Caenorhabditis elegans: one gene and its partners. The protein of the gene in region 2 interacts with the protein of the main gene of each other region in a pairwise test. Each region holds a gene or a part of one and is shown on either strand. Other genes may lie near its edges.

The links.
Region 1: the proteins of ing-3 (region 2) and dro-1 interact in a two-hybrid assay, tested with the Caenorhabditis elegans proteins (one large-scale study listed by BioGRID).
Region 3: the proteins of ing-3 (region 2) and T10B5.10 interact in a two-hybrid assay, tested with the Caenorhabditis elegans proteins (one large-scale study listed by BioGRID).
Region 4: the proteins of ing-3 (region 2) and egl-13 interact in a two-hybrid assay, tested with the Caenorhabditis elegans proteins (one large-scale study listed by BioGRID).

What each region holds. Positions count from the first base shown.
Region 1 is NC_003281.10:13,340,039-13,345,849, reverse strand, and holds dro-1 (Protein Dr1), read right to left. Parts: upstream 3,167-5,811; coding exon 2,750-3,166; intron 2,668-2,749; coding exon 2,530-2,667; 3' UTR 2,243-2,529; coding exon of another isoform or gene 2,188-2,242; 3' UTR 2,138-2,187; downstream 1-2,137. Other genes in the region: acaa-2 (3-ketoacyl-CoA thiolase, mitochondrial), read right to left, coding at 1-605, 656-808, 879-891; ife-1 (eIF-4F 25 kDa subunit), read right to left, coding at 1,340-1,514, 1,561-2,026, 2,188-2,242; nud-1 (Nuclear migration protein nudC), read right to left, coding at 3,311-4,169, 4,217-4,320.
Region 2 is NC_003280.10:13,873,053-13,883,616, reverse strand, and holds ing-3 (Inhibitor of growth protein), read right to left. Parts: upstream 7,584-10,564; 5' UTR 7,556-7,583; coding exon 7,528-7,555; intron 7,462-7,527; coding exon 7,390-7,461; intron 7,337-7,389; coding exon 7,233-7,336; intron 5,848-7,232; coding exon 5,323-5,847; intron 4,191-5,322; coding exon 3,576-4,190; intron 1,482-3,575; coding exon 1,353-1,481; 3' UTR 1,032-1,352; downstream 1-1,031. Other genes in the region: hda-10 (Histone deacetylase domain-containing protein), read right to left, coding at 155-283, 782-904; ndub-8 (NADH dehydrogenase [ubiquinone] 1 beta subcomplex subunit 8, mitochondrial), read right to left, coding at 8,399-8,600, 10,270-10,564.
Region 3 is NC_003283.11:1,850,554-1,859,264, forward strand, and holds T10B5.10 (BED-type domain-containing protein), read right to left. Parts: upstream 5,724-8,711; 5' UTR 5,706-5,723; coding exon 5,598-5,705; intron 5,291-5,597; exon of another isoform or gene 5,228-5,290; intron 5,166-5,227; coding exon 5,036-5,165; intron 4,992-5,035; coding exon 4,909-4,991; intron 3,008-4,908; coding exon 2,840-3,007; intron 2,780-2,839; coding exon 2,696-2,779; intron 2,644-2,695; coding exon 2,455-2,643; intron 2,392-2,454; coding exon 2,182-2,391; 3' UTR 1,840-2,181; downstream 1-1,839.
Region 4 is NC_003284.9:5,661,278-5,668,566, reverse strand, and holds the start of egl-13 (Transcription factor egl-13), read right to left. Parts: upstream 4,731-7,289; 5' UTR 4,657-4,730; intron 4,203-4,656; exon of another isoform or gene 4,063-4,202; intron 2,080-4,062; exon of another isoform or gene 1,887-2,079; intron 719-1,886; exon of another isoform or gene 574-718; intron 248-573; 5' UTR 247-247; coding exon 103-246; intron 1-102.

The DNA of each region.
Region 1 (5,811 bases), on a different chromosome or scaffold from region 2:
AGCAGCGGCTCCGTCAGAAATTCCAGACGCATTTCCTGCATTCACTAGTCCGTCTTTTTGGAAAACAGGCTTCAGCTTGGCAAGGCTTTCTGCGGTGGTGGCTCTCGGATGCTCGTCGATTTCGAAGCTTTCTTCTCCCTTGCGCCCCTTGATAGTGATTCCAACGATTTCATTCTTGTAGACACCAGCCTCCTGAGCCTTCTTCCACAGGGTCTGAGATCTCAGAGCGAATTCGTCGGCTTCTTGTCTGGTAACTTTGTATTGTGCGCCCAACTTCTCTGCAGTCTGTCCCATGGCTAACTTGGCATACGGATCGCTGAGAGAATCCCAGAGCATATCTTCGAATTCGTACTTCTTTCCAAGTGCAGTTCCGAAACGAATATCTCGAACAGCGAATGGCACCATTGACATGTTTTCGGTTCCTCCGGCAAGAACAATGTTGGACTCGCCGAGCTTGATAGCTTGAGCTGCATTCACGACTGCTTGGAATCCCGAACCACAGAGACGGTTGACAGTGAGGGCCCCGACGTTTTGTGGAACTCCAGATTTGAGTCCAATGTGACGACTCAGGTAAATTCCATCACGAGAGCTGGCAACCACGTTTCCTGAAATTAGAGGTTTTCTTTAAATCATTCTAAAAATAAAATCTTTCTACCAAAGATGACATGATCGACGGCATCTGCTCCAACATTAGCGTGCTTCAGCGCTGCTTGAGAAGCGACGACTCCCAAATCAGTTGCACTCAATCCTTTCAGCTTTCCACCAAAAGTTCCGAATGCTGTACGCTTGGCACCGACGATGAACACACCTGCAGACATAATATAAACATCACTGATCACTTATTAGTACAACGACCATGGACTTTGACCCCCACTCACATTTTCCTGCCATTTTGCAGTGTATTTGTGTGGTTCTGTAAATAAAAACGTTCTTATAAGTAGTAACAAATTATTAGGAAGAGGTGAAAAAACCTAAAAAAAAGGGCATTTAGAAAACTGCATAATTATTTTGAGAGGGGCTTTTGAACAAAAATAAAGTTTTTCGGTTGTTTGTTGGGCCGATAAGATAGGTAGAGAAGAGACGCAGAGACGAAAAAGAAGCAGAATGGCCGACTTTCGCGGTGTCTTTTTTATCATCATTCCCGCTACTTGTTCTCTGACCTAAAGGCTACATTCTACACTACAATAAGATACAAAATTGGGCCTGGAAACCACAAGGCAATATAATACAATTAATTTTCATCAATTTTATTAAACCAATCACAAAACAACGAGTGAAATACTAGCCAAGCAACGGGTGTAATTAAAAAACAAGTAGAGCAGATACAAAATGGTCTGCTTTAGACGGCGGATTTCTCGGCGACTGGAGCATCGGACGAGTGCAATGAAAGCTTGGCTTTCACAACCGAGCTGGTCTTCTTCTGGCAGCTCTCATGATCTTCGTAGCGGATCACATCGAACAGTGGCTTTGAGTGGTCCTTGGATGCGGCCATCAGCTTCTCCTTCAGCACAACTCTGAAATTCCAAAATTCAAGATAGAATTAAAAATAGACATGCATACCCAATCCTCATGTTGGTTTCATCATCGTTGCAATCCTTAGTCCAGACGCTGATCTTCGATCCTTTTCCTCTGACGTTGCACACCAACCCACAAATCGACTCCATGTCCTTTCCGAATTGCTCGCCGACCAAAGCCATGAGAATCTCCAGCCAAATAGCATCGACCATTTCGGGAGTCTTTCCCTTGTCAATGACGATGAGCCAGCGTCCTCCGTTCGAGTTTTCCGGAACCTCCCACATCGGCTGAATATCGTCACGGAAAACGTTGTAATCGCACAACGCGTTGAGGCCACTTGGTGGACGGATAGCATCGTAGAGAGCCCAGAACTCCGAGACGGTGTTGAAGGTGTACACCTTCTTCAGACGATCCTCCCAAGACTTGTTGCGCTCATCGTTCAAATACCACCACGTCCAGTTACGCTTCAGCGGATAAATGGGTGCCGTCGTTTGCTCCGTTTCAGTCATACCTGGAAGAACTCGATTAGTAAAATCAGTAAACAGAGAGAATAAATGAATGCAAATAAAAATGGGCACGTGGAACCAAAAAAGTGATGCAAAACGGCGAGAAACAGTTTTTTTGTGAATAATTTATAGTACTCAAACGATAATGAAAAAGGGAATGGCTCACCTTCTTTCTCCCCAGAGATTTTCAGCTTCTCAAATGCTATTTCAGAATCTGACATTTGCGCTTAAAATTTTCGCACCTCGACAACTGGCAAGGCAAAAACAGGACTGATCTGAGAAGCCGAGAACAACTGGGGAAAACGCCAACTAATCGTGCCCTAAATGACGTGCCATTGAAATATGGAGCGGGTCAGTAAAAAAATTCACGGGGAAAATAGGAAATGGTGGAATATAGTACAACAATTTTAAAAAGAGATTTAGAAATTATCGATGATGAATCAAGGTAAATACACAAATGAAGAAATAAAATGAGAACCCGTAGAAAAAAAAAGCGAAGAAAAACAATCTAGTTGTCGTAGTCATCGTCGGTTGGAGCCAAAGAGCCCTCTGATGGTCCTCCAAACATTTGTGCGTTTGCGGCTGCTACCGCCGCGGCTTGTGCTTGTTGGTGAGCAAGCTGCTGCTCAATTTCTTGTTGGCGTGCCTGTAAAATAAATATTAACATTGAGGAAATGAGTGTTTGTTTTATAAAAACAAAATTATTTTTGAAAACCTCAAAAAATTACCTTCTGAATTAATTCTTGTTGCATTTCGTACAATTTTTCCTCTGGAATACCACATTTTTCAAGACGAGAGTTCTTCCTTCGCAGCTTCTTCTCGGCTTCAACCTTGCAGGCATCGAGAACACTGTCGGCGGCCTCGAGATAATCTGGTGTGAATCCTAAATTCTGCAGTGCCTTCTGAACATGTTCGTGATATATTGTTTTTCTCTGATCCTGGCTCGCAATTCGTTGTGCTTCTCTCGCAATATGCTTCACGAACTCAACGCAGCAAGCATTGATCATATCTCTCGACTCGTTGGCGATTCGCATTTCAGGAACAACTTCTTTGATAATTTGGTTGATACCTTTCTGTGGAAGTCCGATTTCATTGTCCTCATCCATATCTGTGAAGAGTCTGAAAATTGTGTTGAAGCACTGCATTTTTAAGGGATCTAAAAGAGATATAAGGAATGAGAAATACATTATTAAAAGTTTAAAGATGAAATAAAATTAATATCAAACTGAGTACATTTATGCGAATATAAATATAATATTTTCGGAACAAATCTCACAAAATTCACAGAATTATCCAATTTTAGCATTGCTGAAGTCCATTTCAGGATGCTGTTTCATGAACTGTTGCAGCATATCATGCTTTTTCTTCTCATCAGACGTTGGAAGACCCATCTCCTTCTGCCTCTGATCATACATCATCTTTTCGACCATGGCACGTGTCTCTCCATCCAAGTCGCTCAATTTCGAGTTCTCTGGCTTCACTTCCTTAGTATTGATTGGAGGATCGGAATCAAGGAATCGATTCCACCATTCCATATCATTGATCTTCTCGAGAGTTAGGACAATCGCTTTCCCGTTTTCGATTACCCAGTTGCAATTTTCTACTTTAATGGCGTGAGGCAACTTTCCATCGACAATCGGAGCTTGATTCTTCAGGCCGACAGATACTGAAGTCTTCTCTATTTTGACGACAACGTCACGAGATTTGATAGCAAATCCAGCAGCAATTGGAATCTTCACCTCGAGTTCTTGGAGTGTTTGAGTCCATTGATATTTGGCAAGATCCGCACCATTTCCACTATTTGGTTTCATGAGCTTACTGTCCTCATCTTCGACTTCAGCGTCTTTCGATGTTTCTCCTTCGTTATCGACGAATTTTTCAAGATTTTCAACAGAATTTTTAGCCTGTTCCTTTTCAAACGCGGCCGCTTCCTCATCAGTGACTTCCACGACTTTCGCATTTCGGAACTCTTCCTCTTCCTTAGCTTTTTGTGCAGCTCTTCGTTCAGCAAGCTTCCTCTCCTGCTCTTCCTTCCGTTTCTTGGCTTCTTCAGCTTCCTTCATAGCCTTTCCACCGTGTTTATCGAATTTTTCGAGGAGAAGGGTCCGGGCTTGATCGACACCAGCGCCACTGTAGAAATCCGTCTTTCTGAAACAAAACATGTATTTATTAAGCACTTTGAAAAAATTTCTTACCTCGAAAGAAATTCAAATAGTACATCAAGCATTTCAGGCACTCCGCCGCTCAGCTGTTGGGCCATGGAGAGCAGCACCGAGTCGAATCGCTCATATTGAGACATTTTCTGAAATTTAAATATATTAATTAATAAAAACTACTTCCAAAACGAAGAAAAACATTAGGAAATCCGGAATTATTGAAAATAGAGCCTAAAATCAAGAAACATAGTTATTTCGCAATAATTACAGGACAAATTCTACTTAATCTAGTTAAAAACTTATTTTACAAACTAGAAAACCATTTATTTTGACAAATATCACTAGAAAAATTGAGTTATTTCGAAATTTCTGGTAAATCCTATTTTCGCCATGTTCCCATGGATACTGCAAGTGCCTGGGGAAAGCAGGTGGCTCATAATGCTCAATTATATTTCTGGGACAATGAGAATAGTTGAAAAATCAAAGAAAATCTGTGCGAAATCCCGCAAAATCGATAAATTAGGAGAGAAAATGTGTAAAATTGAAAATAAATTGCGAGCGCCGTTTTTTCTAGGCGCCTTGGCGCGGCGACTGGCGCAACTCTCGTGCTGACGCGAAACTCGATGCTACAGTAGTTTGATTTGAAATTTAAAAATTCAAATTTGAATTCAAAGTAATTTTCAGAAAAAAAAAGCAATAAGTTACCTAGTGCATTACTATTTCTCCCGTTAAAGAGAAAAACGGGTCTAATTGAAGAACAGATGGTGCTAATCAAAGAGAAAAATGCACACGCTTAGAAATTGGATTTTTCGAGACCTTTTCCATTTTGAAACTTTCTATTGATAATAAATCCAACTTAAATATTGATTAAGTTCACTTTTCCATTTACAAATTATTCCAAAAAAGACAGAAAAGCCATTACGTATGCTTAATTGCTTTTTTCTAATTAGACGTTCGACACTTCAGTACACGCTAGCATGGCTAATTAGATTGGAAACGAGGTCACCTCTCGTTTTTGTTTGTATGTCTGCGTTCATATTAGACTACGCATCGCGTTGAGAATCTAGTTAGAACACTATTTGTGTCTCCCTTTTTACGCGGCCTTTTTTTCTTTCTTGCAAAAAAATACGCATTTTATTTATGTTTAGTAGTTAACATAATTAAAATAGATGTTGACACACTTTTTTTAATAATAATTTAATAATAATTATTATTATTTTAAATACAGATAGAGTTTCAAATCAATTCACTAAATTTACCCTGTTTTATTGAAAAAAAAGCGGTGCGGCAGTGAGAGAGTATGTGGCGAAGAGACGGAGAGAAAGAGCATTCACTGCGAGACCTTGCGCGTCAAGTATGGCGAATTTCTCCATTTTCAAAACGTCTATGTAATATTAGTTTATAGGAACATTTAATGTAATAGAATATTGAAAAACAGAAGAAAGAAAACACCAGTAAACCGTTTTCGATAGACTATTTAAAAAGCTGATTGCATAGTTTCTCATTAATTTATTAGCTTCTTTTTTAAATTTAGTATGTACTGAAACTTGATTTTCTCGAAAAATCTAGATTATGTCAGAACCGGACCAGGGGGAGAGAATTTCCCCAACAGATGGTACACCCACTCAACGTGA
Region 2 (10,564 bases):
AATTGTGAAAAAAAAACAAGATTTCCAGAAAAAGTTGAAAAAAAAATTTTGAAATAATTTTTTTTTCGAATTTTTCAAAAAAAAATTTTTTTTTTGAAAAATCAGTTTTTTAGTGCACAATTTTCTTCCAATTTTTTCCGGCTAAAATCCTGACCACAGTCATCGTTTCTGTCGATTTAACGTCATCCACATATCGTTTCGTGTGTACCGCCAAAATTTCCGATTCTTCCGCTTCCCGGCGGGGAATGTGCTCAATTCGGGGGTCGGTGAGCAGTTTTGTGGTCTGGAAATGAAAATTTGGGGGGTTTTTTTTTTGTTGTAAAATATGAAAACTTTTCTTCTTTATCATTAAAAAATCATTTTTTTTGCGAAAAATTCGATAAAAAATGTTATTTTAAAATAAAATTGTTTTAATTACGAAACAGCATTTTTTTTCTGAGAAATTCCTTTTTTTTTTAAATAAAATTTTTTTAATTCAAAATTCTTAATTTTTTTTTGAAAAATTCGAAAAAAGCGGTTTTTTAATTAGAAATATAAGGTTTTTTGTTGAAAAATTCCAAAACTTCAGAAATTTCAATTTCAAAAAAATTGCACATTTTTTTGAAATTTTCTCAAAAAAATTCAAAATTTCAGTCTTTTTTTTCCGAGGTTTTCTTTGAAATATGCAAATATTTGTATTTTTCATTTTTATTGGAAAATAGTTGTGCTTGTTATTTTAATTTATTTTTTTTCCGGCTTTTCCCCCTAAAAATCCAAATTTTTTGCTCATTTCCCCCCATACATTAAGCCTCTCCAAAATCGCATCAAGCCTCCTCGGAACTTCAATATGATATGATGGCCATGGCTGATCGTGTCGTTGCTCCTGATGATCGAAAATCACAAAAACTTTCTTTTCTGCAGCCATCGAAAACTCTAAAAACTTCTTAAAATCTGGAAAAAAATGGAAAAAATGCCTATAAAAAAAATACAAATCAGAGTAAAAAAACAAGTGGCATGCAATTTCAAAAAAAAAATCCAAAAAAAAAAATCTTAAAAATTATCGAGTTCATCCTTATTAAAACTTTTTAGGGTATATTGTACAAGAGAATAATGCAGGAGAAATTTGAGAATCATGGGACATCATAACATGGGGGGGAATATATAAAATAGTGTGCAAAATAAAATTAATTGGAATTTTTACAATTGTTTTTTTGGGGTATTTAAAAATATTTTTAAAAAAAATGTGAGAGAGCATCAGAGTCTTTGGGGAAAATTTCAGATAAAAATGTTTTAAAAAAATTGGGAAAATTTCAGGCCAATCATTATTATTATTATTATTAAATTATCGTTGATGGGGAGTCATAATATTTATATTAGACTTCTCCCTCTTCGGACAGCTTGAGAGCAATTCCCATCGTAACTTCACACCGCGGACAGTACCATTTTCCAGTCGGAGGCTCGACCATTCCAATGCACGGGTAATGGAACCAGCGGAGGGTGCACTGCAAATGAAATGGGATTAATTAGAAATTTAAAAAATTCTAGCAACTTTACTAATTTCCAAATTTTTGTAGCTATTTTTTTAATCTAGGTTGAAACTTACTGATATTTTTGTGGTTTTTATTACTTTTTTTATTTTCCAACAAAAAAAAACAAACAAACAAATCTACCATTTTCCCATAATTTTTTCCAAAATTTCAACAAAAAATTCTAATCTAAATTTAAAAAACATATAGCTACAAAAGTGCTATAAAAAATTTACATTTCAACCAAAAATCTTATAAACTGAATTTTCATCGAGACCATCACCAAAAAACTAATTTTTGACCAAATTGAGTGCGAAAAATCGAATTTCCATCAAGAATATTATAAAACATTTTGTTTTCTTCGAAAAAATTAGAATTTTCCAGGCAAATTCTATTTTTTGTAGTTTTTGATGAAAATTCAACTTTTTTTAAATATATTTGTGTGGCGGAAATTTACTTTTTTGCATTACTTTTCGAAGAAAACAAAATGTTTTATAATATTTTTGATGGAAATTCGATTTTTCGCACTCAATTTGGTCAAAAATTAGTTTTTTGGTGGTGATGGTCTCGATGAAAATTCAGTTTATCAGATTTTTGGTAGAAATGTTTTTTAAATTTAGATATTAGAATTTTTTGTTGAAATTTTCAGACTTTCTGTATTTTGTTTTAAAGGTTTTTGGTGTAAATTTCAGATGGATGGATGTAATTTGTAATATTTGTGGAAAAAAACTGAGTTTTCACCGAAAACAGTGCGAAAAATGAAATTTCCACATTGTAATTATTTTAAACAATTTTTTAAAAATCATGTTTTCGTGTTTTATGTTTTTTTGTGTTTGTTTCCATTTAATTTTTCTAATTTTTGAAATACTTACAGTGGAAATTCAATTTAATTTTCGAAATCTAAATTTTTCGTATTATTTCAGTTGCTTTTGTAATTCAAGAGCATGTTTTTGTGGAAAATCAATTTTTAAAAATATTTTTCTGATGAAATTTTAATTTTTCGGGATTTTTTTAAAATGAAAATTCTATTTTTTTTGTAAAATTTTTTGATAATAATACCAACAAAAAATCGAATTTTCACCAAAAATATAGCAAAGTTTTGCAATTTTTAGGTGGAAATTAATTTTTTCGCTCAACTATTTCGAATTTTTGTAACACATTTTTTGGTAAAACCGTTGAAAACGCAGAAATTTTGTTGATTTTAGCCTAAAAATAATATAAATTGCAACTTTTTCCAATTTTTTGGTGAAAATTCAATTTTTCTGAATGTTCGTGAAATTTTTCGATAAAAATGTAAAAAAAAGCAAAATTTTGCATTTTCTGGTAGAAATTATTATATATTTTTCGCAATTTTTTGGTGAAAACTTCATTTTTGTGATTTTTTCCAAGGAAACACTCTATTTAACAATTTTTAAGCATTTTGTTGTGGTAGAAATTCAAATTAAAAAAAAAATAATTTTCGGTTAAAAATTAACTTTTTTCGTACTATTTTTGAAACAAAAATTTAATTTTCGGTGCATTATTTCTGATTTCACTTTTTAAACTCAATTTTTGGTGGAAATTTGAATTTTTTGTACAATTTTCCATGAAAAAATATGAATTTTCATCAAAAATTACGAATTATTGATTTTGTGCTGGAAATTTGAATTTTTCGCTCAATTTTCGATTTTTTGAATGGAAATTTTTTTTTTTTTTTTTAATAAGATCTTTGATAATCTTTGACTAACCAAAAAAGTGAATTTTCACCGCAAATATAGCAACATGATTTTGCAATTTTCAGGTAGAAATTATATATTTTTCGCACTGTTTTCTCGTGTGAAAATCCAAATTTTTTGATTTTTTGAATGGATGGAAACTCAATTTTTCGCACTATTCGAAGAAAAAAAAACAGTAATTTTCTGCATTATTTCTGATGAAAATTCACATTTTTTAATCAATTTTTGGTAATAAAAAACAACAAAAAAAAATCTAATTTTTTTTTCGCACTATTTCTGCTGGGAATTTGAATTTTTCGCTCAATTTTCGGAGAAAAATTCAATTTTTCCCTTCATTAAAAAAGCCCACACTAACATGACGATTATCACACTGAACCATATCTCCATAGCTCTTCTCATTACAAAAACACCAATGCATCTCATCCTCCTCATCCTCCGATCCCGGAGCCATCATCGGATGGCTCCGCTTAATCCGATAACTCGGTCCTTCCTCATCATCATCCTCGGCGGCTCCTTCAATCTCCGGAAGTGGTGATTGTGGTGAAGAGCTCGTCGGAGCGTGAGCGTGCTGAGCCGCCGCCGCCAGATTCGCCGCACTCATTCTCTCCTGTAGTGCTATAATTGAATTTCCATGATTCCGCTGCCGCTGTAGAGTCTCCTTAAACATCTCCTGAACTCTACTGGTCAGCTTCCGAGTTCTACCATGACGGCTCTCAGACACCACAAACGCCGAATTCTGGAGAACTGGAGTCGTCGGCGAAACGACGATATGCGGTCCTGAGGAGAACGTCGGTGTCATCAGTAGGCTTGTCGTCGGCGTCGGTGATGATTCGTCGATTCCGGCGTTTGACCAACTACGTTCGGAGGGATTCGGTGAGAAGCGGGATGTCGATTCACCACGATTCATCATTGATGAAAGAGCACTTGGAATGGAGACTGTGCCGCGGAGAGCATTTGTGTTTGAGCGGCGCTGAAATTTGGAGAAATTAGAGAATTTTTAGTTTTTTCACTCCAAAAACGACTGATTTTCGTGAAAATAATGGCGGTTAGGCTGAAAAATCAGCCTATTTAACGGTTCGGACGATTTGGAACGTATAGACCCAAATTTTGTGCTCAAATGAACGAATTTCATACTGAAATTGCTCAAAAATTCTTCAAAAATGTTTTATGGCGCTTCAAAATTTCGAAAACTTACACTGATTTGAGTTAAAATCTCGAATTTTGGTCATTTTTCCGTGTCTCGGCTGTCCGAAGTTGGCTTTTTTTGGAAATATCATTCTTGATTGCATATATTGGTTTTAATATCTCATTTAATTTCGTTTATTAAGGTCTGTTTAAAGCCTATAGGCGACCAATTTTAATGATTTTTGGTTACCTATTGGCTTTAAATTTACCATAATCAATGAAATTAAATGAGATAAACTACCAAAATATGCAATGAAGGATGATAATTCCAAAAAAAACCAACTTCCTACAGCTGTGACACGGAAAAATGACCAAAATTCGAGATTTTAGCTAAAATCAGTGTCATTTTCGAAATTTTGAACCGCCATAAATACATTTTCGAGCAGTTTCATTACGAAATTCGTTCATTTGAGCACAAAATTTGGGTCAATAAACCGTTAGTCCTCCTGTAAATAGGCTGATTTTCCAGAAAATCATGGCGGTTTGGCTTAAAAATTAGTCAGTAAAGAGCCAAATTTCGTTTAATTTTGAAAATTCGAAACAAAAAGTTAATTTTTAGCTGAAAACGGTCCAAAATGACCCAAAAACGGCCAATTTTCGTAAATTTTATTAAAAAATGTGGCGGTTAGGCTAAAAAAATAGTTGAAAAGAGACGAATTACGCTAAAACTCGAAATTTCGTCAAATTTTTCTTGTAACAACACCCAAAAAACGGGAAAATTTTATCAATTTTGTGAGGTTTTTGTACGATCAAATTTTGCGGATTTTAGGCTGAAATTCAAAAATGTTTGAAAAATATTATTTGAAAATTCAAAATTTAGCTAAAATTCGAAATTTCGCCAGTTCTTTGAACAGGAGGCCGTGGTAGGTGGGCTCCAAATTTTGCGAATTTTCTCGAATTTTCAGCTAGCTCCTCACCCTAGCCGTCGGTGTTGGTGGCACTGGCGTCAGACAATCATCACTGGCCACCACCATCGCCGCCGACGACAGCAACAGCTGATCCTTTGCGATCTTTGGCGGGCGCCCACGTGGCGCTGGTGATGGTATAGCCGATGATAGTGCCGATTGTGCCGACTCATCGGAAAGATCCATTCGAAGACGAACACCTTCCTGAAGGATCCGCTGAATTTTGTCCTTTGATTCTTTCGATAAAAGTGGTCCCGAAGCGACTGTCGATGCTCTCGACGACGATCCTCCACCACCACCACCACCGCCCACGCGATGACGACGTTTTCGTTCTTTTCTCGCTGTGAGCAGAGATTCGACGTGTTGGGTATATCGTTTTTCGATCATTTCGGTCACTCCTGAATTGTCGGCCTCCATTTCACACTGGAACGTGGTTTTCTCCTTTTCCAAGTGAACTTTGTACTTTTTGAGGAGTTCTTGCATTTTTTCGGCGATTAGATATTTGCGTTGAGCTAGCACGCGGATTGTGGAGAATTCCTGAAGAAAATTGGTTGCAATTTTTTGGGTTTTTTCAATTTTTTTTTTGTGAAAAAGCAAATTTTTGAACTTTTTTTTTCATTTTTTAAGAGAAATTTTGCCATTTTTCAGCTATTTTTGTGATAAAAACTTTTTTTTGAGCTTATTCAACGTTTTAACGAGAAATTTTGAAAAAATGGTTGAATTCTAAAATTTTTATTGAAAAAAAAAAGCAAATTTTTGAGCTTTTTTTTACTTTTTAAAGAGAAATTCTGAAAAATTGGTTGATTTTATGATTTTTCGGGGGTTTCGACTTTTTTTTTGTTGTGAAAACAGCTAATTTTTTTTTATAATTTCGGCATTTCCTTCACTTTCAACGCGAGAAAATCTGGAAAATTGGCATTTTGGGATTTTTAAGCTTTTTTTTTTTTTAAAAGCTAATTTTTCAGCTTTTTTTTTAAAGAGAAATTAGAAAAATTGGCTGATTTTTTGGGATTATAAGGTAGTTTTGGGGGAGAAAGCTTTTAAAATTAATAGAAAATGCAAATTTAGGGTTTTTTTCCAAGAATTTCGGCAAAATTGGTTGTATTTTGAGATTTTGAAAGTTTTTTTTAGAAAACCACGAAAAAAAAATTAGAAAATGCAAATGTAAATGTTTTTTCCCAAAAATTAGTTGAATTTTCAATTTTTTTTCGTGAAAAAAGCTAAATTTTCAGCTTTTTTTTCACTTTTTAACAAGAAATTCCGAAAAATTGTCTGAATTTTGCGATTTTTTGTCCTGTTTTTTAAAAAAGATTTTCAGTGAAAAAAGGAATTTTTTCGACCGTTTTTTTCCGAGAAATTCTGAAAAATTAGCGGAATTTTGGGATTTTTTCGCGGAAAAATGCTCATTTTTTGAAAATTTCGGTATTTCCTTTATTTTTAGCGGAAAATTTTGAAAAATTGGATGCATTTTGAGATTTATAAGCGTTTTGGGCTAATTTTTGCGTTTTTAAGCTATTTTTGTGAAGAAAAAGCTTCAAAAAACGATCAAAAACGACAAAATTCTAATTTTAGGTTTTTTTCCGAAAAGGTTACAACTTGGTCGGATCTTGAGCAACTTTTTGAGTTTTTCGACCTCATTTTAGTGTTTTTAGACGTCATTCACTTTGAGTATTTTTGAGCACTTTTGGTGTTTTGTGGGAAAAAAAAGCTTAAAAAGTGAAAAAATGACATCAGGCAAAGTACAAAAAAATCCCATTTTTTCTCATTTTTCTTCACGAAAAAGCTAGAAAAACGGGTTTTATAGCGAAATTTCTCATTTTTCACGAATTTTAGCCGTTTTTGTGGCAAAAATCAACTTTTTCCTGCGTTTTCGTGTCAATTTGCTGCCAAATTCGAGTTCCAGGAATTTTCATGAAATTCACCTCCTGCAAAACCTTGCAGCGCTCCTTTCTCTGCTCCTCGGGCATATTTACGCCGGTTCTCTCGAAAAAATCGTTGATCGCCTCTCGATTACGGTTTAGACGGGCTAAAAATTCGAAAAAATGAAGGGAAAAATTCAGAAAAATTTCGAAATTTTACATTCAACTTCATTGTCGATTCGCCGAATTTCATCGCTTCTCTCCTTCAGCTCGGCAGGCAGCTCATCGAGCACTGGAAAACGTTGAAAATTTGGGTGTTTTTATAGGGGAAAAGTTTGCAACAAAAAAAACCACTTACTTTCTAAAAAATCATCGAGGAAGAGCATTTTGTGCGGGGGCGTCCAGCGCCGAGTTCTGAATTTTTTTTCCAAATAATTAATTAATTAAAAGTGGAGTAGCGTAGCGCCAGTGGGAAAATTGCTTTAAAACACGCCAAATTCAAAAAAAAATTTCTAAATTTTATATGATTTTTTGAAAATTGAAAAAATCTCAGTTTTTACCCCTAATTCCTATTTGAATTTCCGCCAATTGAACTCGTTCGTTGGAGCGCCGCGCTTGCACGTTTCTAAATTTATTTATTTTTTGTTATTTTCCACCGATTTTTAATGTTTTCGGTGTATTTTTGCTTGAATTTTAGAGAAAAAGTCGAAATAAATGCAAATTTTCGAATAAAAACCATGCGTACAGACCGAAATCAGTGAAATTAATTAATTTTGTCATTTTTACGCCTGTAAGCGTGCTTTTTAATCGAAATTTAGCATTTATTTTGACTTTTTCTCTAAAATTCATGTAAAAATACACCGAAAACTAAAAAAAATTGAAAATCGGTGGAAAATAACAAAAAATAAAATAAATAAACTTAAAAACGTGCAAGCGCGCTCCATCGAACAAATCCAATTAGCGGTAATTCAAATAGGAATTAGGGGTGAAAACTGAGACTTTTTCAATTTTCAAAAAATCATATAAAATTTAGGAATTTTTTTTTCAATTAGGCGCAATTTTAAGCAACAAAAAAAACGAATTAATAGGTATAAAAGCGTTAAAAACGCTGAAAAAAGGGCAAAAAAAAGGCAAAAAAAAAAATGATAAAATTCGAATATTTTATAGTACAAAAAAGGAGAAAACGGAGAAAACTACCAAAAAAAAAACAACCGAAACTAAGGAATTTTCTATTCCAAATCAAACGAATAGTTGACAATTGGGTATTTGCGTGGATCGTCGAACGGGTAGGCACGGTAGAAATCGTATGAATACTGCTTCGGCATTGCCGGATTCTTCCAACGGAGCGCGTTCGGATGTTCGTTGGTAAAGTACCAGGCGAGGAGAGCCATCGGTACGAGCACGCGGAGGCACATAACGATCGAGTTCCAGCTGAAAATTGGATAAATTAATTAGAAAAAAAAAACAAAAAAAAACAGCCTAAAAATCCGAAAATTAAAAAAAAATCGCAAAATTTAGAAAATCCACATTTTTTTCACCGAAAATACTAAAAATCGCTGCAAAAATTCAAGAAAATCCGAGAGATACGAAATCGATAAAATCGGTAGATTTTTTCGCTAAAAATCGGTGAAAACCCGTAATAAGAGGCAAGAAAATCAGTAAATAATTTGAAAAATGTCAAAAAAATTTCCAGGAAATCGAACGAAAATTCTCAATTTAGTGAAAAAATCTCAGAAAATCAACTGAAAAATCCTTTAAAAAATTTAAAAAACCTGTGGAAAATCCGACGAGAAATTCAAAAAAAATCAATGAAATTTCAGGAAAATCAAAAAAAATTCGTCATTTTTTTAGCCAAAATACGAGAAATTCCTCTTTTTTTCAAAAAATTATGAAAAAAACTGCCTAAAAATACGAAAATCCACTTTTTTAAGGGAAAAAATTCGGAGTTTTATCAGAAAATCGGGGAAAATTATGAAAAACTTAAGTTTTAGGGCGAAATTACCCGAAAAATCTGCGAATTTTCGGATTTTTATCAGAAAATTGGACTAAAATTCGCATTTTTCAGCGAAAAATTCGCTTTTTTATTAGAAAATCGGAGAAAATAATGAAAAAAAAACTGGCTGAAAATCAGAAATTCCGAATTTTTACCTAAAAATAGTGAAAAATTATGGAAAAAACTGCCCAAAAACCCATAAAATACACATTTTTCAGCGAAATTACCCAAAATCTGTGCAAAAAATCAATTCAAAATTCACGGACTACGAGACCCATTTTTTTTTCAAAAACAGGAACAAGATATGTCAAATATCCAGAGCCAGTGAGCATTTTTCGTGAAAATTGGAAAAAAAAACCCTGAAAATTTCAATAATTCCGGTTTTTAGTCAGAAAATCGTGAAAAATTTTGAAAAACTGCCTAAAAATCAGAAAATTCAACAAAATTTCGCATTTTTTAAGCGAACAATTATGAAAAAACTGCCTAAAAATCCAAAAACTCAATAAAATTACCCATTTTTTAAGCGAAAAATACCGATTTTCATTGAAAAAAAATTGTGAAAAATTATGAAAAAATGCCTGAAAATCAGAAAATCCGCAGTTTTTTCAGCAAAAAAAAAATCAAAAACATTTTTCTTTCTGAAAAATTTTTCTGAAAATATGAAAAAAAAACCGCCTAAAAATTTGAAAATTAAGCGAAAAGTTATGAAAAAACTGCCTAAAAATCGAAAAATTCAATAAAATTGCCCATCTTTTAAGCGAAAAATTCCGATTTTCATCAAAAAATCATGAAAAAATTATGAAAAAAACTGCCTAAAAATCAGAAAATTCATTGAAATTTCGCATTTTTCATCAAAAAATCGTGAAAAATTATGAGAAAACTGCCTAAAAATCCGAAAATCCGCAGTTTTTCAGCAAAAAAAATCAAAAACATTTTTCTTTCTGAAAATATGAAAAAAAACCGCCTAAAAATTTGAAAATTAAGCGAAAAATTATGAAAAAACTGCCTAAAAATCGAAAAATTCAATAAAATTGCTATTTTTTGCACAATTTCTGGCCATTTGTCTCGAAATTTTTCATTTTTATAGCATTTTTCTCCTCCACCTACGTGGTGTAATCTTCCGCCTCGAGGCCTGTAAACGTGAGACGATCGCCTCGATAGCGCATCATATCGATCGGCACGAGCTCTCCCCAATTCCGGCGATTCTGCCGATCGGTCCACGCCTCATACGGATCCTTGTGGTCGTAGGTGATTACACCGAGGTCTGGATAGTCTCCGGCGAACTTGATCACGTCGTCTTTGTCCATTGATTGATAGTCTTCTGGTCTGAGGCCGTATTTGACGGCGGCGGCGCGACGCTCTTCCTCGTTTGTTGGCGGCGCGCTTGGCTTGTGATCACGTG
Region 3 (8,711 bases), on a different chromosome or scaffold from region 2:
TTTTGTCGGGATCGAATGCGGCTTCTGCTTCATATCACAGTTTCTCCATACAGTCAGTCCCATCTTCTTGGCACGTCCCTCCATCCATCTTCGATATTTTTGGTATCTCTTGCGCCGATGTCTCGTGAGTGTCCAATCCCAGCGCAGATGACGAGCCGCCTTTCTTTGTGGAGCCGAACACGTGTAGCGGTACTGTAGGTATCTGTAGATGTGCTCCACACGCTGGGATTTCAAGTAGGCAAGTCTCTCCCGGATGTCCTCTGGCTTCATCTGACCTTTTGCAATCACCTCCGTCTTTGCACGTTTCGATGCGCGAATGCGTCTGAAAATTCGGTGTCTTCTCTGTCGTTTCCTCAGCTTTCTGGCCTTCACGTGCTTCTTCTGCTCTTTTCGGGCTTCTCTCGCAAGCTTTTTGTCTTCTGGAGTCACGCCTTTGCTCACATTGATTCCAGCTTTCTTTTGCCTGTCCTTTTCGATCCATCTGTCGTATTTTCTTTTTACATCTCTCCATCTGGCTTTTTCCACTGTGAATTTTTTGTGCGAACACTCATTAGTCTTCTTCTCGGGCTTTTTCCGGAAATACGCTGCAAAAAATGGAAGTGATTTTGAATATTGTCTGGCAGCGGACACTTTGCTGGTTCGCAATACGCAAAATTTAAAAGTAGCAGGCGACACTTCACTGGTGGTATTCTACTGGACTCAAAAAATGCTTTTAAAAAAGGCTTGTGGACCACAAGTCAGCTGCTCTCGGCGTTTTTTTTAACTAGCGTAGCAGCGGACACTTCACAGGAGCCGAGATGTCGGCTGTTTTCGGCCAGCAACCGACATCTCACCGGCGCAATCTGAAACATTGATTACCTGGCAACGTTCCTGGATGGAAGAAGTAGTTCATTTTGTGAAAATAATTTGGAAATAATTGATTTGAACTTTATTTCTTGTTGGAAGTTGTTTGTTTTTTTCGTCACACGGGAATTATTTATTCTTTTATAAACTATAATGTCACGGGGAAAAAATGAATAAAAATCAATAAATAGGAAAACACGTCAGCCAATTTAAAAGTTTTAAATTTTGAAATTAAAAGTATCAGCCGACTTATCACAGGTGCTATTCTACTGGAGTCTTATTATAACCTATAAGGTCGGGTGCCCCATAAAGTCCCATCAAGGCTGTGCGGCATTTTTTTCGGCAAACGCACAAAACTGTATATTTCATACATGATAATCCAACTTTTATCATCGAAAATTAATATCGAAATGTAGAAAAATGTTTTTTTCTATCTGAAAATAATATTTATTTTTGTCGAAAAGCTCCAAGAAATAAGTCTCAAATAGTGCCTGAAAGTTGCTGTTTGCCGAAAAAGTGCCGATAATTTTTTGGCAAACGACAACTTTCAGGCACTATTTGAGGCTTTTTGAATATTTTCACCAAAAATAAATATTATTTTCAGATAGTACAAATCTTTTTACTACATGTCTTCATTAATTTTAGCTGAAAAAAGTTCGATTATCATGTATGAAATAAGTAATTTTTGCGTTTCCCGGAAAAATGCTACACATCCCCGGTTCCCATTAGAAATCATTTTAATTTGAAAATAACTGCTGCGTTTTTCAAATTTTTTCAAAAAAAGTTCCCCGCAGGCACTTTGAAAGGTTCTCAGCCACGAGACGTCGGCTGCTGTTGGCACTTTTTTCTCAAAACTAGCGTAGCAGCGGGCACTTCACAGGAGCCGAGATGTCGGCTGCCCTCAGCCAGCAGCCGACATCTCACAGGCGCCATCTGAAACATTGATTACCTGGCAACGTTCCTGGATGGAAGAAGTAGTTCATTTTGTGAAAATAATTTAGAAATAATTGATTTGAACTTTATTTCTTGTTGGAAGTTGTTTTTTTTTCGTCACACGGGAATTATTTATTCTTTTTTTAAATTATGATAGAATGTCAAGGGAAAAATTTAAAAAAAGATAAAAATTAATAAATAGAAAAACCCGTCAGCCAATAAATAAATGAGGAAAAATTCAAAAAGTTTTGGAAAAAATTGAATTGAAAGACGCCAATTTGGGCCAGTAAGTGATCATTATGAAGGGAAACTGGGGTGAAAATAGCACTGGGAGGAAGTTAGAGAAATCGATTGGAATGACAAAGAGTATGGAACTGGTAGCGTTGGGATTACTTTTTTAATCCTTCAACCTTCAACAAGATTCATCACATCTTCTATCTTTATCAAAGGTGCTTCGGAGCAACCCTTCAAAAAATGGAGACAAGAGCCCCGCACCGCCCAAGTGAACTGCTGCCAGTCGCTTTTCCTCCACATTTCTACGCGGGTCTCCTCGTCGTTTTCCAGCTGAGTGACTCGGATTTCGTTACCGCAATCGGTTAGGGTTACCATTTTTTGCTGGAATTTTTTGATTTCTGTGATTTTGGCCGAAAATAATTCTCTTGCAAATTCTTAACTTACATTTTTTAAATTACTCTCAAAGCAATATTCGCCCATTTTTCTCGCATTAAATGTGAATACCAAGTCAGAATCTGTGGCGATTTGTAGCAGCGCGGCGATGCTTGTCCCATCATTCAGATGGAATTCTGCTGATGACGTGGATGTCGAGGTGCTTCCACTGACTGACGAGGAGGAGGAATCTTCTTCTTTCTGGAATTTGGGTAGTGAAATGTCGGCTGCTTCTTTTAGTATTCTGACTCACAATATTCTGATAGGTGCTGTTCAATTTGCTAAGAAATACCGAATCGCTGGTGAGACTCTCGTTTTCATTAGATGCGTTTCCTTCCTGGAAGATAATTAATTTTAAGCGCCCGTCTTGTGTGCCTAGGCACCTAGGCAAACTTACATTCGAATTGGCCGATGGGGATGTGCTGGAATTGGCGTACTGCGAGGCTTGTTGGATTAGAGCCGCCAGGAAGTCATCTTGGGCTCCGAGCTTGATCTCTGCGGTGGCAAAGGGGTTGAACGAGAAGGGTGACGGTTGGGAGAGGGCTTTGAGGAGCAGATCTTCGGGCTGAAAATATTACAGTTTTTTTCTGTCTAAGATATGGTTTCGTCGCTTTTCAGAATTAAAAAAAAACTAAGTTTGTCCCATCACGGTTTGATCTACAAAAAATGGGGAAATTTTTTGCCCAAAAATATGTGACTTCAGCACGCTTTTAACCATACGAAATCAGTTGAGAACTCTGCGTCTCTTCTCCCGCATTTTTTGTAGATTTACGTAGATCAGGCCGAAATGAGACACTCTGACACCACGTGAAAATAATTAATTGGAGTGTAGTGCAGGGCTATTGTAAGATGTTTGCATTGTAGGATAACTTAAATTACTATAAGAAAAGGTTACTGCAGAGTTACTGTAAAGTTACCAGTTTTTGCAGGATTACTGTAGACTTATTATTGGGTTACTGTAGGGTTACTGTAGATTTTTAAAATATACTCAATGGTTACTGCCAAATTACTGGTTTTTGTAGGATTACTGTACTTTTGATAAATATTATCCTAGGGCTGATGTTTTGTATTTTTATAGCTACTGTAGTGTACTTGTGTCTTGAAATAGGATTAAAGTAGAATTTCTGTCGACTTATTATTGGGTTACTGTAGGGTTACTGTAGATTTTTAAAATATACTCAGTGGTTACTGCCAAATTACTGGTTTTTGTAAGATTACTGTAATTTTGATAAATAGTATTTGTATAGCTACTGTACTGTACTTGTGTCTTGAAATAGGGTTGAGGTAGGATTACTGTAGTCTTATTATTGGGTTACTGTAAGTTTACCCAGACGTAGAGTCTACGTCGTAGACTAAGATTACTGTATTCTCAGTGGCAGTTAAATTTTTGTAGTTAAGGTATTGTAAATCAGGGGTGGTCGGCAATTGCCGTTCGACCAATTTTTTGTCTACAAAAATTGTCAAGTTGCCGGTTTGCTGATTTGCCGGAAACTTTCATTTCCGTCAATCTGCCGATTTGCCGTTTGCCAAAATCAACTTGCCAAAAGTTTTAGAGGGATTTTTATAAGACGGAAACACTTAAAACTGGGCCTTTTGGAACCTTTTTCTGTTTTCTTTAGATATTTTCATAGAATGTGTTTGCTTTTCAAAATAGCTGTAGGAACATTAATAGGATGCGTACAATTTTGCAATTAAAATTGAAATACTGAAACTTCCAAAAAAGTGCGAAACCACAATTTGCAGAAAATTCCAGCAAATTCGCAATTTGCCGGTTTTCCAATATAAATTTACTCGAAGAAAATCTCGTAAATGGTTGTCGAAAAAAAAGTTTTTGAAAAGTACTGTGAGACTACTGTAGGTAGATTATGTTCCAAAATTCAAGACAGAAAACTCCAAGTCAAAGTTTAAAAAAAGCTGCAATTTATATTTCCTAGATTTCCCTTTAAACTTCAAAAAGCATTTTAAATATTTTGAAGATTTTTCCTTTCAAAAAAAAAGTAAAATTGTTTTGCTTTTCCGTTCAACCATGTCCAGTTTAAACATTCCAATCCATGTCGAAAATTGGACACAACCAAGCTTCGCCCCGCGACGAAAAAAAAAACTGGATTTCTTCTTTTTTAGAATTCGCATTTATATACATACATATATTCAATATGTAAAAGCTACTTTGCAAAACGTTCCTAAAATCTGTCTGCGTCTCTTACCCCCACCATTGTGTCTTCCGCAGGCGCCCCACGCGTGCGGGCGCGCGGAAAAGAATTGTAAAAATTAATGCGAATTTCGGTGATTTCTAGGTCACTACTATTCGCTTTTCAAACATGTTTTCTACCTAGAAAATTGCAGGAAATTTGAGAGACGCAGTAGCGAAACAGATATGGTTTTTGCAATTGGGTAACACACGAATTTTTGACAGACATCTGACTTTGGGTGACTGGGTGGAAAACTGGTTTTGATCTAGAATCTCACCTGTTTCTTGACTCGCGGAGCATAGTTCGCTGGAGCCTGTGAGTTGATTTTCTCCTCACATATCGCCCAAAGTCCTCCGGGTCCTAGAATACATTTTTGGAACCCGTTGTGAATTTATTAAGCCAACCTGTGTCATGTTTCCGTTTCAAGTGAAATTTCATAGTTGTAGGCGATCTGTCGTTAGTCACCCAGTGGCAAAATCTGCAGCGGACACCTGCCAGGCCATGAGTTCGGAGGTCGGTGAAAAACTCCCAAACCTGAAATTTAATTTAAGTTGCTGTGAGTAGGCCTGAGGTCGTATCGTAAATTCTTTTTTTAGGTAGGCTTAGGCTTAGGCTTAGGCTCAGGCTTAGGTTTAGGGCTAGCCTTAGGCTTAGGCTTAGGGTCAGGTTTAGGTTTAGGCTAAGGCTTAAGCTTGGGCTTGGCGTCAGTGGCGAGCGTGAGCTCGACGCTATTTAGGCTTAGGTTAGGCTACAGCTTAGGCTCAGGCTTAGGCTTAGACTCACACTTAGGTTTAGGCTTAGGCTCGAGCTCAGACTTAGGTTGAGTCTCAGGCTTAGGCATAGGCTTCGGCTTCGGCTTTGGCTTTGACTTGGGCTCAGGATTATCTCTGGACTATATTCTTAGATCATAGCCTATAATTACTGGTTTTACCGCTATCATTATCCTAAAAAAATAAAATGACTCACCGGATTGCTCTTTTTCCTTCCTGCATTTCTTGGGTTCGGAATATTCGGTGCCGGGGCTAGGCCCGTCCTCATCACACTCTCCGGGAAAACTGTAGTTGTTGTCAACATTTTTGTGAATTGAAAGCTAGAAGAGAGAGGGTTGATGAACTTAGGAACAGTGAGCGATATTAGTTTTAAACCATTTTTAAAAAGTTTGCAAGCCTGCTCAATGCTTATCAATGGAGCAAATTTGCAGAAAATAACAAAACAAAAGTAAAATCAAAAATCCACAAAAAAAGTCATCCAAGTTTGTATGTACTGCATACTAAAATAGAAGTAGGGGGTAGAAAGGGGGACGGAAATCGAAAGCTGACCCCATTTTTTGTTCCGAAAATTGTCGCCGAAACACAGTGTATTTGTTATTTTTGGTGTGGTTCTAGCATGATTTCTGGTTATTCTACATATGTTTAGTGTAGGACTTAACAAAAACGCTCGGATTTAGGCTTAGGCTTAGGCCTAATCTTAGACTTGAGTTTGAGATTTATTTTGAGCTTAGGCTTATGTTTGGGCTTAGGCTTAAGCTTAGATTTGAGTTAAAGCTTATGCTCAGGCTTAGGCTTAGGCTCAGTCTTATTCTTAGGCTTTGGCCTAGGCTTAGGCTTATGCTTAGACTGAAGCTTCAGATTGAGCTTAATCTGAGGCATAGGCTTAGGTTCAGGCTTAGGATTAGGCGTAGTTTTAGGCTTATTCTCAGGCTTTGGCTTAAATTGCCACAATCCAGGCCTATTCATATTCTGATTTACGTCAATTTAGCGTAACACAACTCTAACCATTTTTGAATCAAAAAATTAAAAGTATATTTGGAAATTTCCAGGTTCACAATCATATTTAAAAACTAGTTTTTTTTCCAAAAACCCGCATGCCTACACTCAAATTCACAAAAAGATTTTTTCGTCCTGTGGTGGGGGAGTGGGGGTGAAAGAGAGGCGGAACGCGCGCACCCCTTCCAAAGTTTTTAGGATGGGATTTTTGAATTGTGAATTTCGAATTGAATTGCTTTTGCTTTTGGTCAGGGGAGGGCAAATTGCCTGCAGGCGGAATTCAGGAATTTACGAATTTACGCGAAAAATGGGATGCGAAAATGAAAAACGGCCGGGTAGGGGGGAAGGCGAAGAAAGCATAAATTTCACACGATTTTTGGGAGAAATTTGCATAAATTTTTTCGTTTTGAAATTTTGTTACTCGAAGCTTCTGGAAAGGGAAATTTGAATTTTTCGTAACCTTGAGATTGCATGCTTCTGCTTGATTTTTTGGCAGAAAGTGACCTTGTCTCAAGCAGTGATATTTTTGAGGTAAAATAAATTTGAGAAAGAAGAAATATATATGAATCATATTTTTTTAAAAATAAAGGTGATTCAGAAAAAAAATTGAGAAGGAATTTTTGGATAGTTTCACAGTACTAGGTAAAAGTACACTATAAATCACCTATTTTACTCGTAGTAGCTCAAAATAGTAGGCAGGCAAGCATAACCTTTCACGGGGTTCTGGCCTTCCTTATTGAATTTTTCGCGCTCCATTGACAATCGCCTGCCAGACAACGCGTCGGAAAGTCGTGTACTCCACACGGACAAATACATTTAGTTTTACAACTAGAATCGAGCCGCAACGCGCCGTAAATCTACCCCAGATATGGCCGAGCCAAAATAGCCTAGTTCGGCAAACTCTTCCATTTCAATTTATGAGGGAAGCAAGAAATTTGTGACCTTACCTCGTAGGCATATGCCTGCCTACCATGAAACTACAGTGTGAAGTTGTAGGCAGGTAGGCAGGTCAACAAACTTTTTCTGTTAATGTGTAAGTGTATTTAAATTGAAAAATGAAATTATTTCAAATTTCGTATAGTGTTTTGCAAGGCAAAATCGTTCAGAAAAAAATTTTCAACCAAGAAATGGGCGGAGCCTAGTAGAGATTGGTTTAAAGGAAGCTTTATATACAAATTTCAGACTGAAAATTATTTGAAATTGATGTTTTTTAGTCAATCATTCACCTATTCGTAATTATCGAAAAAAGTGAAACCAAACGGAAAAAGTGAAAATTTCAAGCTTTACACATAAATCATATGCATTTTGACGGCTATACTTAAACCCGACGAATGTCACTGAAATATTGAAATTTGAAATTGAAATTTACTGAAAAAAAAAGAAGTTTGTTCCTCGTTTTTAAGGGCGCCGAACTTTTTTTTGAAAACTTTTTTGAAAACTTTTTGTTGAAGAAATTTGGTCAGCTAACATATAAAACAAAAAAAAGACCGGGAAAAATTCAAATCGGAAATATAAAAATTTAGTCCTAAAAATTTATGAAATCCGATATTTTTGGAAAGTGGGAGCGAGGCGAAGAAGGTCGCTTTTCTTGGGAGAAGGGGGCGGAGCCTATGTCAGGGGTTGGAAGAAAATTTTCAGAATTTTTAATTTTTAATATTTTAAAAAATCATAACAATTTCAAAATAGACCCCGCCCATTTCTTGGTCCATTTCTCTTTATTTTTCAAAAATTTGAAAAAAAAATGTTTTCGATTTTTTTTTGGAAATTTAAAATTGAATATTTTAGAGAAAGTTTTTGTAAAACATAATTTTGAAATTATGGAAAACTTTTTTTAAATGAAAATAACCAAATATCCAAGATGTGGGCGGAGCCTATTTTACGATTTTTTTTTCTGAAATTTTTCTAAACTTTCACACAGATCTGAAACTTGTGCTAACCGTAGAATATTTCAGATCTATGCGAATTTTTTTTTAATTCAGAAATCTCAAAATAGGCTCCGCCCACATCATGGTTGTTCAGGAATTTGCATGGAATTTTTTCCGAAAATCTAGAAAAAAATGGGGGGTTTTTTCAGAATTTTTGTCATAATTTTCCTAATTAAAAAAAAATATCACACGTGGTGGCATGGTGCCTGTCCCATTACGGTTTGATCTACAAAAAATTCGGGAATTTTTTCCACAAAAATGACGTCAGCATATGCAAAATCAGTTGAGAAGTCTGCGTCTATATTCCCGCGATTCTTGTGGATCAAACCAAAGATGGGACACTCTGGCAAAACGTGTGTTCATATTGTGAAAAAAATTTGAAATTCTGA
Region 4 (7,289 bases), on a different chromosome or scaffold from region 2:
AGCAGGGGATCTAAGCGGATAAATATCACATCCTAATTAGAAGGTTAACGCGTTCATTGTAAAAGCTGAGGATGTTTTCAGGACCAAGAATGGACAACTCACATGACCAGGTATGATAATCGTGGGGGTTTGCGGTTTGGCCAGCATGTCGCAGTCGTTTTCTTCTTGACTATTTTCAACTTCCTTGGCAAGCTTCTTCGCGTTTTCACTCAGTTTTGTCGGATTCGCTTTTCGTCTACGGCTCATGCTGGAAAAATACAATATTTTAAAATTATTTGGATTTTTTGTTGCAACGTTTGCAGCAAGGCTGGATTGGCCCAAGAAAAAAGTTGGTAGTGGATGTGCGGGAAAGTTGAGAAACGAAAAGGGATAGATCATAACTCTAAATTAGATGCATACACACAATGCAAATATACATCGAAACATGAGCGTTAATGAGGGGTCGTCATCTCGAGAAAGCCCTCCATCTTGGGGATCAGCCGCACTGATGTTCCTAAGTAGGTGGCGACGGAAGTGAATGAGCAAAGCGTTTACTCCCAGTGTATATTCACACATACACCTGGACAAGACGACGTGCCATCACCGGAAATGGGTCCATCAAGCAGCAACAGGAAATGTTATGCTTTCTAATCACTTTTGTGCAGTGTTATGCACATGCGCCACTTATTATTCTGATGGAAAAGCGTTAGGAAACGGAAATTTGTCATTTCAAAGACTCGAAGAAAATCGGAATATAAGAATTGTACATACATGTATTACATGTTACATTGCATGCACATCAATTTCCCAATTCTATACTTTTATTAAAGAGAGGGAGAGTTTTTCGACTGGGACCACCTGTGATTATAAATTCGCATAATCGTTCTCGTAGCTCATCGCGATACGAGTCATTAGTCTTAAGGCAGGTCAACATGCGATTCATTTCACACAGATGTTGCTATAACAAATTCAAACAATTATGAAATACGGGGCCAGGAAAGATGGCACAATTTAGGAGCTTCACAAGACAAGAAGAAATTTTGCTGGTGGTTATGATGGACTCCCCCTGAGCATTCATCAGCCTACCGTATACCTGTCTACCGGATGTCTCAATATGCTTTTATTCATGAGGCTTGCACACGCAAACAAGTGCTTTGAAATGTAAGTAAGCAATGGACAGCAGGTGTCGAATAGCGTTTTGTGGATTCAAGAAAAGATAGAAATGATAGAGGTGATAATGAATTAGTTATCACGATTACTTTTAAGTTACTCATTGAAGTTTCCAGAAAGCGGTTTTCAATACCAAAACATTTATATAGTATTCTAATATTTAGGGAGCCTATTTTGTAGTACTAGTTTGCATGGATGGTAAAACTATTTTCGGTCAGTAGTGCTTTAAACTTTTCTAGTTGTATTCCAGTTTTAATAATGGTCAAAGACCCTTTTACAATTAGTAATGGCCAAGAAAGGGTGAAACGGCCGACCAAAAAAAGCAATCTATGACTAATCGATTCACAACAATACCATTCTCTACACACCTAATTTGTCTCTTTTCTTCTCGAAAAGCTGAGAAAATGGTTTTGTGGGAAAATGTGCACTCGGTCCTTGTTAAGATGTATACATCAATGGTGATGGGTTTCTTTTGATACAACATTTCTTACGAGAACATTAGAACCTTTGATCTTTTTGCATTAAACAATAATTCAAATACTTCAATTTCACCTTCCCGCGGGACCGTTAGTATCAAATTCCACAATTCATCGATGTTGCCCTTGGATAACTTGTTGTTGTGGGGATGGAGGAAACAGGGGCTAAGAATCGAAATCTATGAGCAAGGCCTGGTTAAGCCGATTATAGTCTAGAGCAGGATGGATCAAGGCCTATTTGTCAAATGGGAAAGGGCATAATGTTCGTTCAATATTGAATATTACAAGAGCTCCGTTTTGGTTTGACAACAAAAGATAGGTGTTATTAAGTGTGATATATAAAAGAAGAACAAGTGTGACAAGTGACTCCTTCCGCTGATTTGAGGTCAGTTTTTGAAAGAAAAAATTTTCGCAACAATTTCTGTTCAAGATTCGTATGAGAGTGGGACGAAAAGATGAAAAACGGGGGAACTTTTGTCGTCTTCCAGGAAGATGCAACAATTGACAAACATCTTGGCAGGCATTGTTCCATCAAGAGCTCGGGGTTCCCTGTGTCTTATCTTCCTATCAAAGATTTCAAACACGAAAAACGGATAGGAAAAAGTGATACTACGAGTACAAACGTTAGTTCGACGGATATTTTCAACACGTTCAAAATGGTGATATTTGTGGAATCGTTTCTCAAGGTGTCACACACTCTACTTACCATCAATTAACGAGACAATAGATAATCAAATAATGTCGGGGCAGGTGACAGGTTAGCAATAGTTGAACACCTAATAGAACATACGTCTCATGGCTTTGTTCCGTGTATCCGGGGCGCCGGTGACAACTGGCTCTTGTGGCGGCTGAACCTCGAAACAACGGTGCTCTTTTTCTCTCGATGTCACACTTTTTGAGAAACTGAGAAACTTTTCGTGCAATACAATGGAGCTCTCATTGCACTTTTAGTTTGGGACAAAAAATGTTGATAGGCTTGACGAGCGATGAGACACTGGGACAGTGGGACAGCGCAGATGTTTGATGAGCAGGAATGATGTTCGATTGTAGTGTTTTGCGAAGAATTGTTGTGTGATAAGTTTATGAAAAAAAAGTTAAGTCTCATGCACAACAAATAAGAAAGATTTCAAAAAAAGGTAAATCAAATATATTAGGTCTCCAAATAAGTTCTGGGTCAAAAATCATAACTTTGTTCGCTGTGTATCGATTTTCATGAAACTCTGGGAATTTATGTTATCAACTATAATCTTTCATTTAACAATAGTCACGAAATTTTTTGACCGCCCCAAGTGTCCTAACTCGGAGCCAATTTTTTCAGGCATTTTTCTGATCTCGCTTATTTTCAGCTTTGAATTGAGGGTTGTGTGCGGATTTTTCTTTGTTTAGAATACATTATTAGAAAACAACAAAAGTTTTGAAAAAATCCGTCCAAAAAAATTTTTTTTGGTTGGTCGTCAAAAAATCTTCAAAAAAATTTTTTGTCGAAAATTCTAGATTTTTCCTACAAAAATGATGTAACCATGAACCTCAATTGAAATTTGAAAAGAAGCGAGATCAGAAAAATGCCTGAAAAAATTGGTTCCGAGTTAGGGCACTTGGGGTGGTCAAAAAATTTTGTGACTATTGTCAAATGAAAGATCATAGTTGATAACATGAATTCCCAAAGTTTCATAAAAATCGATACGCAGCGAACAAAGTTATGACTTTTGACCCGGAACTTATTTGGAGACCTAATATACCACCAAATATTTCTCTACAGTGTGCCCAACGTCTATAGCACCACCCCACTAATTTGAGAGTTTGGTGTTTTTGAAAATATTTTTTGAAAAGGTGTTAGTACAGTTCAATAGAAAATGTTGAAAACCTATGGTCCTTGATTTTCACAACTTATATCTCAAAGTTTAGTTCGAAATTTTAACAATAAACGAGAAAATTATGAGGAGCCGAGAACTGGCCCCTGTCAAAAAATCCGATGAGTGCTATAGAAGTTGGATGAATGTTTTTTTTACAAAATTTTTACTTAATTTTCAGGTATCATCATAAAACTGGGGGAGCATATCCTTTGCAGCATTTGCTATCAAACTGTGCTGACGTTTTTTTCTGAAAATAATTTGGAAGCACCAAACTCCCAGATTAGAAAAGGGATGATATAGACGTTAGTTGTAATGTATTAGTCTTGTACTCTCATTGCTTTACTTTGACAGCTTCTATCTCGGTTGGCAAATTATGTGCAAAATGTTTTTGTACATTTCAACAGTAAATAATTTTTTGGTAAAACTTAAGAAGACTGATATACGAGGTAAATCCATTGGGGTGCAAGTTTAATACGGAAAATGCGGTTTTTAACTACAATCAAGTATGTCAATGATCACTCGCATGTTTCTCCCTTGAAGCTCAAGCTGAATAGAGTATGGTTTCAATAGATTCTCAATAGAGTATTCAAAAGAAATAATTGACATATACACCCTACCAAAACTGCAAACACAAGAGCAAGGATAATTCATCATCGAGATCTCCAATTATCCCTTACAGTCTGTCAAGAATACATGAATATTTGATAAGGTAAAGTATGGAAGAAGAAGGATAACACAAAGGATAGATAGAAAAGAAGAAAAAACAATTATTTATGGAATTGGCAGTGCCCATAGGAGGCACATGATGATAAACTCGGAGTTAGCTAGGATATTAAAGGGATCATGAGCAGTGACGGGTGCGGCGATTTGGCCTACTATTATTATGATCAACAACGGCACACGACAAGGAGAAAATAAGACTAGACAAAGTAATAATTCTTTGAAATCTGTCACCAAATCTGGAAGTGTTGCTCTTGCTCCAAATGCGCAAATATAGGCAAAAGTGTGAGAAAAGTAAAGTTGGTGAGGAAGAGAATACTTACCAGATGCTTGCTGGTGCAAATACTTGTTCTACTTGTTTTGTTATTTCAATGAAAAAGCAAAACAGTGCTCACAACATTAAAAGGGGAAAGAGCATGGCACAGTAGAAACTAGAACGGAAACTAGTTCTTACTCACCACTATAGAGCCATTCGGGAGATTGTTGTTACTGATCCAGCAGTATTATGGAGTATTGATTTTATTTGGAGTGTCTGGAATTTTAAATTTGCGTTTGTAAATTCAAGCCTGAAGAAAACATTGAAAAAGAAGAATCAAAAGCGTTAGAAATTGAAACTAGAGAAACTTAAAAAGGCCGATTATTTGAGTTCAGTGGCATTATTAATTCAAACGATTCACACGCGCTGAATGAATTGTGAATTATGAAGGAGAACAAAGATATTGCACAGATATATATCAGAAATTCCTTTTCTTCAATTGAGGATAGTCTCACGATTTGTCCTTTGAGGGTAAGAAGAAAAAGAAAAGAGAAAAGGTTCAAGTGAATAAAAGATGGGGGCAAAATGGAAAAATGAGAAAAAAAATGTTTGGTTGAAAGTAGAAAGCAACACTTAGAGAAACATAAGTTCAGTAGTCAAACAGAAAATATAACTAGTTGTCCCACAAGGAAGCCTATGGTATTAATTTTTTGTTTTGGACTGTTCACGAAATTTCATTGGTCACTAGTTTCAGACATGGTGACCCAATTGAACTGGCAATTTCAGACAACAAACTTTGAACCAAGAGAAGAAGAGAGAGGGAGAAAACAGGAAAAAGCTGGTATTGGTTGTCTAGGTGATTGGAAGAGGGAACTGGTATCAGACAAGTGGTTCAAGGTAGTTGTGTTCCATCACACAATGAAGAGAATGAAAGAGAGTGACCACCCCACCTGAAAACAAAACTGACCACGCAATTTGTTTGTCCTCTGAATCGTCTCACAATAAGTTACACACTGTGCCCTCTTCTCTGCAAAGTGGGTGGTGGTGGTGTGTTGTCGGAGAGACACGGTGGGGACCCGCGCTTCTTCAGAACTGGATGTGTTGACCAATGGCGCAAAAGTTTTCCAAAGAACGCGAAATGGTAATAGGTCGAGAACCACTTGCAACAATTCCATAATGTTTCTTTTAGTTGACACAATGCACCTACTCAACCTCGTTTCGAAGATTCGGAAATGCATTTATGATAGACTAAGAGGGCATCGCAATACGAGGACGGGAATCAATCATAATGTATTTTAGGTGGACATTTTAGCTTTTGACAGTAAAGAATATTGAAACACACTGAAATTGTATTTCAATATAGCCTAGAAATTTTAAGTAGGCCAAAAAGTTCTAACTATAGTGAGAGGTTATGACATCTAGGAACTTGGAATATTAAAAAAAATCTTAGTTACTACATACAACAAAATCCTAGAGTATACGAACTCTTATATAAGTCTATATAAAATAAGGTCAAAAGGCTATCACAAATGAAACCGTAAAGATACGGTTTTCTAGTTCAAGAATATACAGAGTCGCCCATAATTATGGCGACCACTTTGCAGTAACTCAACGTTTCTGTTTTTGGAACGAGATATTAAAACAAGTGAACTTACACAGTTATTAACCACCCTGAATAACTAGGTAAATTAAATAGGTTTGCATATTTAGAATTGTTAAAAACACAAGAACTGAAAAAACACATCGAAATGTTAAAATTTTAGATCTATGCTTGAACTTGAATTTGAGATTGAGACATTTAGTATTCCGATTTTCTAAGCAAACTCAAATACTGTTGCACAACGCGTGATGTGACTAATGTTTATGTTCTTACAAGTTGATATGAAAAATTACTATTGGAGGTTTTTCTTATGTCTCATAGCTGGCAAAATTATCGCTCCCTGATAAATTCAAGATTTATGACATTCATAACTCAAAAAGAACATACTTTTAAGGTTTTTACTCCAAAAATCAGAACTTACCAATTTTTTTACAGGTTGTGCTAGTTTGGCTATGAGTCTAGAGGATATAAGAGCCTATAATGCTAATGAAATACCACAAATGTAAAATGAAAAACTTTTAACAACAGCTCTAGGGTTATGGTGAACTGTCTTGGAGCATGAAAATGCTCGATGTTAGCAGAAGAGATTGTTATATTCATTAGTAAGGAACACACTATAAATCAAATTTAGTTGGAAGGTACCTATTACAAAGTTCATTACTACATCAACAGCTAGTATGTTTCAAGTACCATTGGCCAAATCGGTGGCAGTGACCCAAATCGCTGAAACTCCATCAATCGGAGTACAAAAGATATATATTCAGCGCCACACCCATAGGTAGACCTTGTATGTATGCAGATCCGAAAAAATCCATGCTTGTTCATTTGCCTCCCACCGGTTAATCTATTTCTTTCCCTGAGAAAGGCCGGCTTTGCCTTCTTTTGCCTGCTTTTCCTTCTCAATTTTGCCGCCCATTGTACCCGTGTTACGCAAAAGCGGATGACCATTGCGGCAAATGCATACAAACACAGGAGGTAGTGTCAAAATAATTTGCGATTTGCCTTTTTGCCTCCCCCCACCATCTCCTCATTTCTCCCTCATTCATCGTCTTTATTATTGACACTCGGAACCTGTTTGATTTGATTTGCCACTGGTCACTACCGTACGGATGGCATATAACTGTATTTGGAGATGACGATTAGCGCGACTGGAATGAATAGACAAAAAACACACGCGGAGAAAAGCCAAATGAAGAGGTGAACTGGGTACCGACGACGGCGGCGTCGATTGGTGA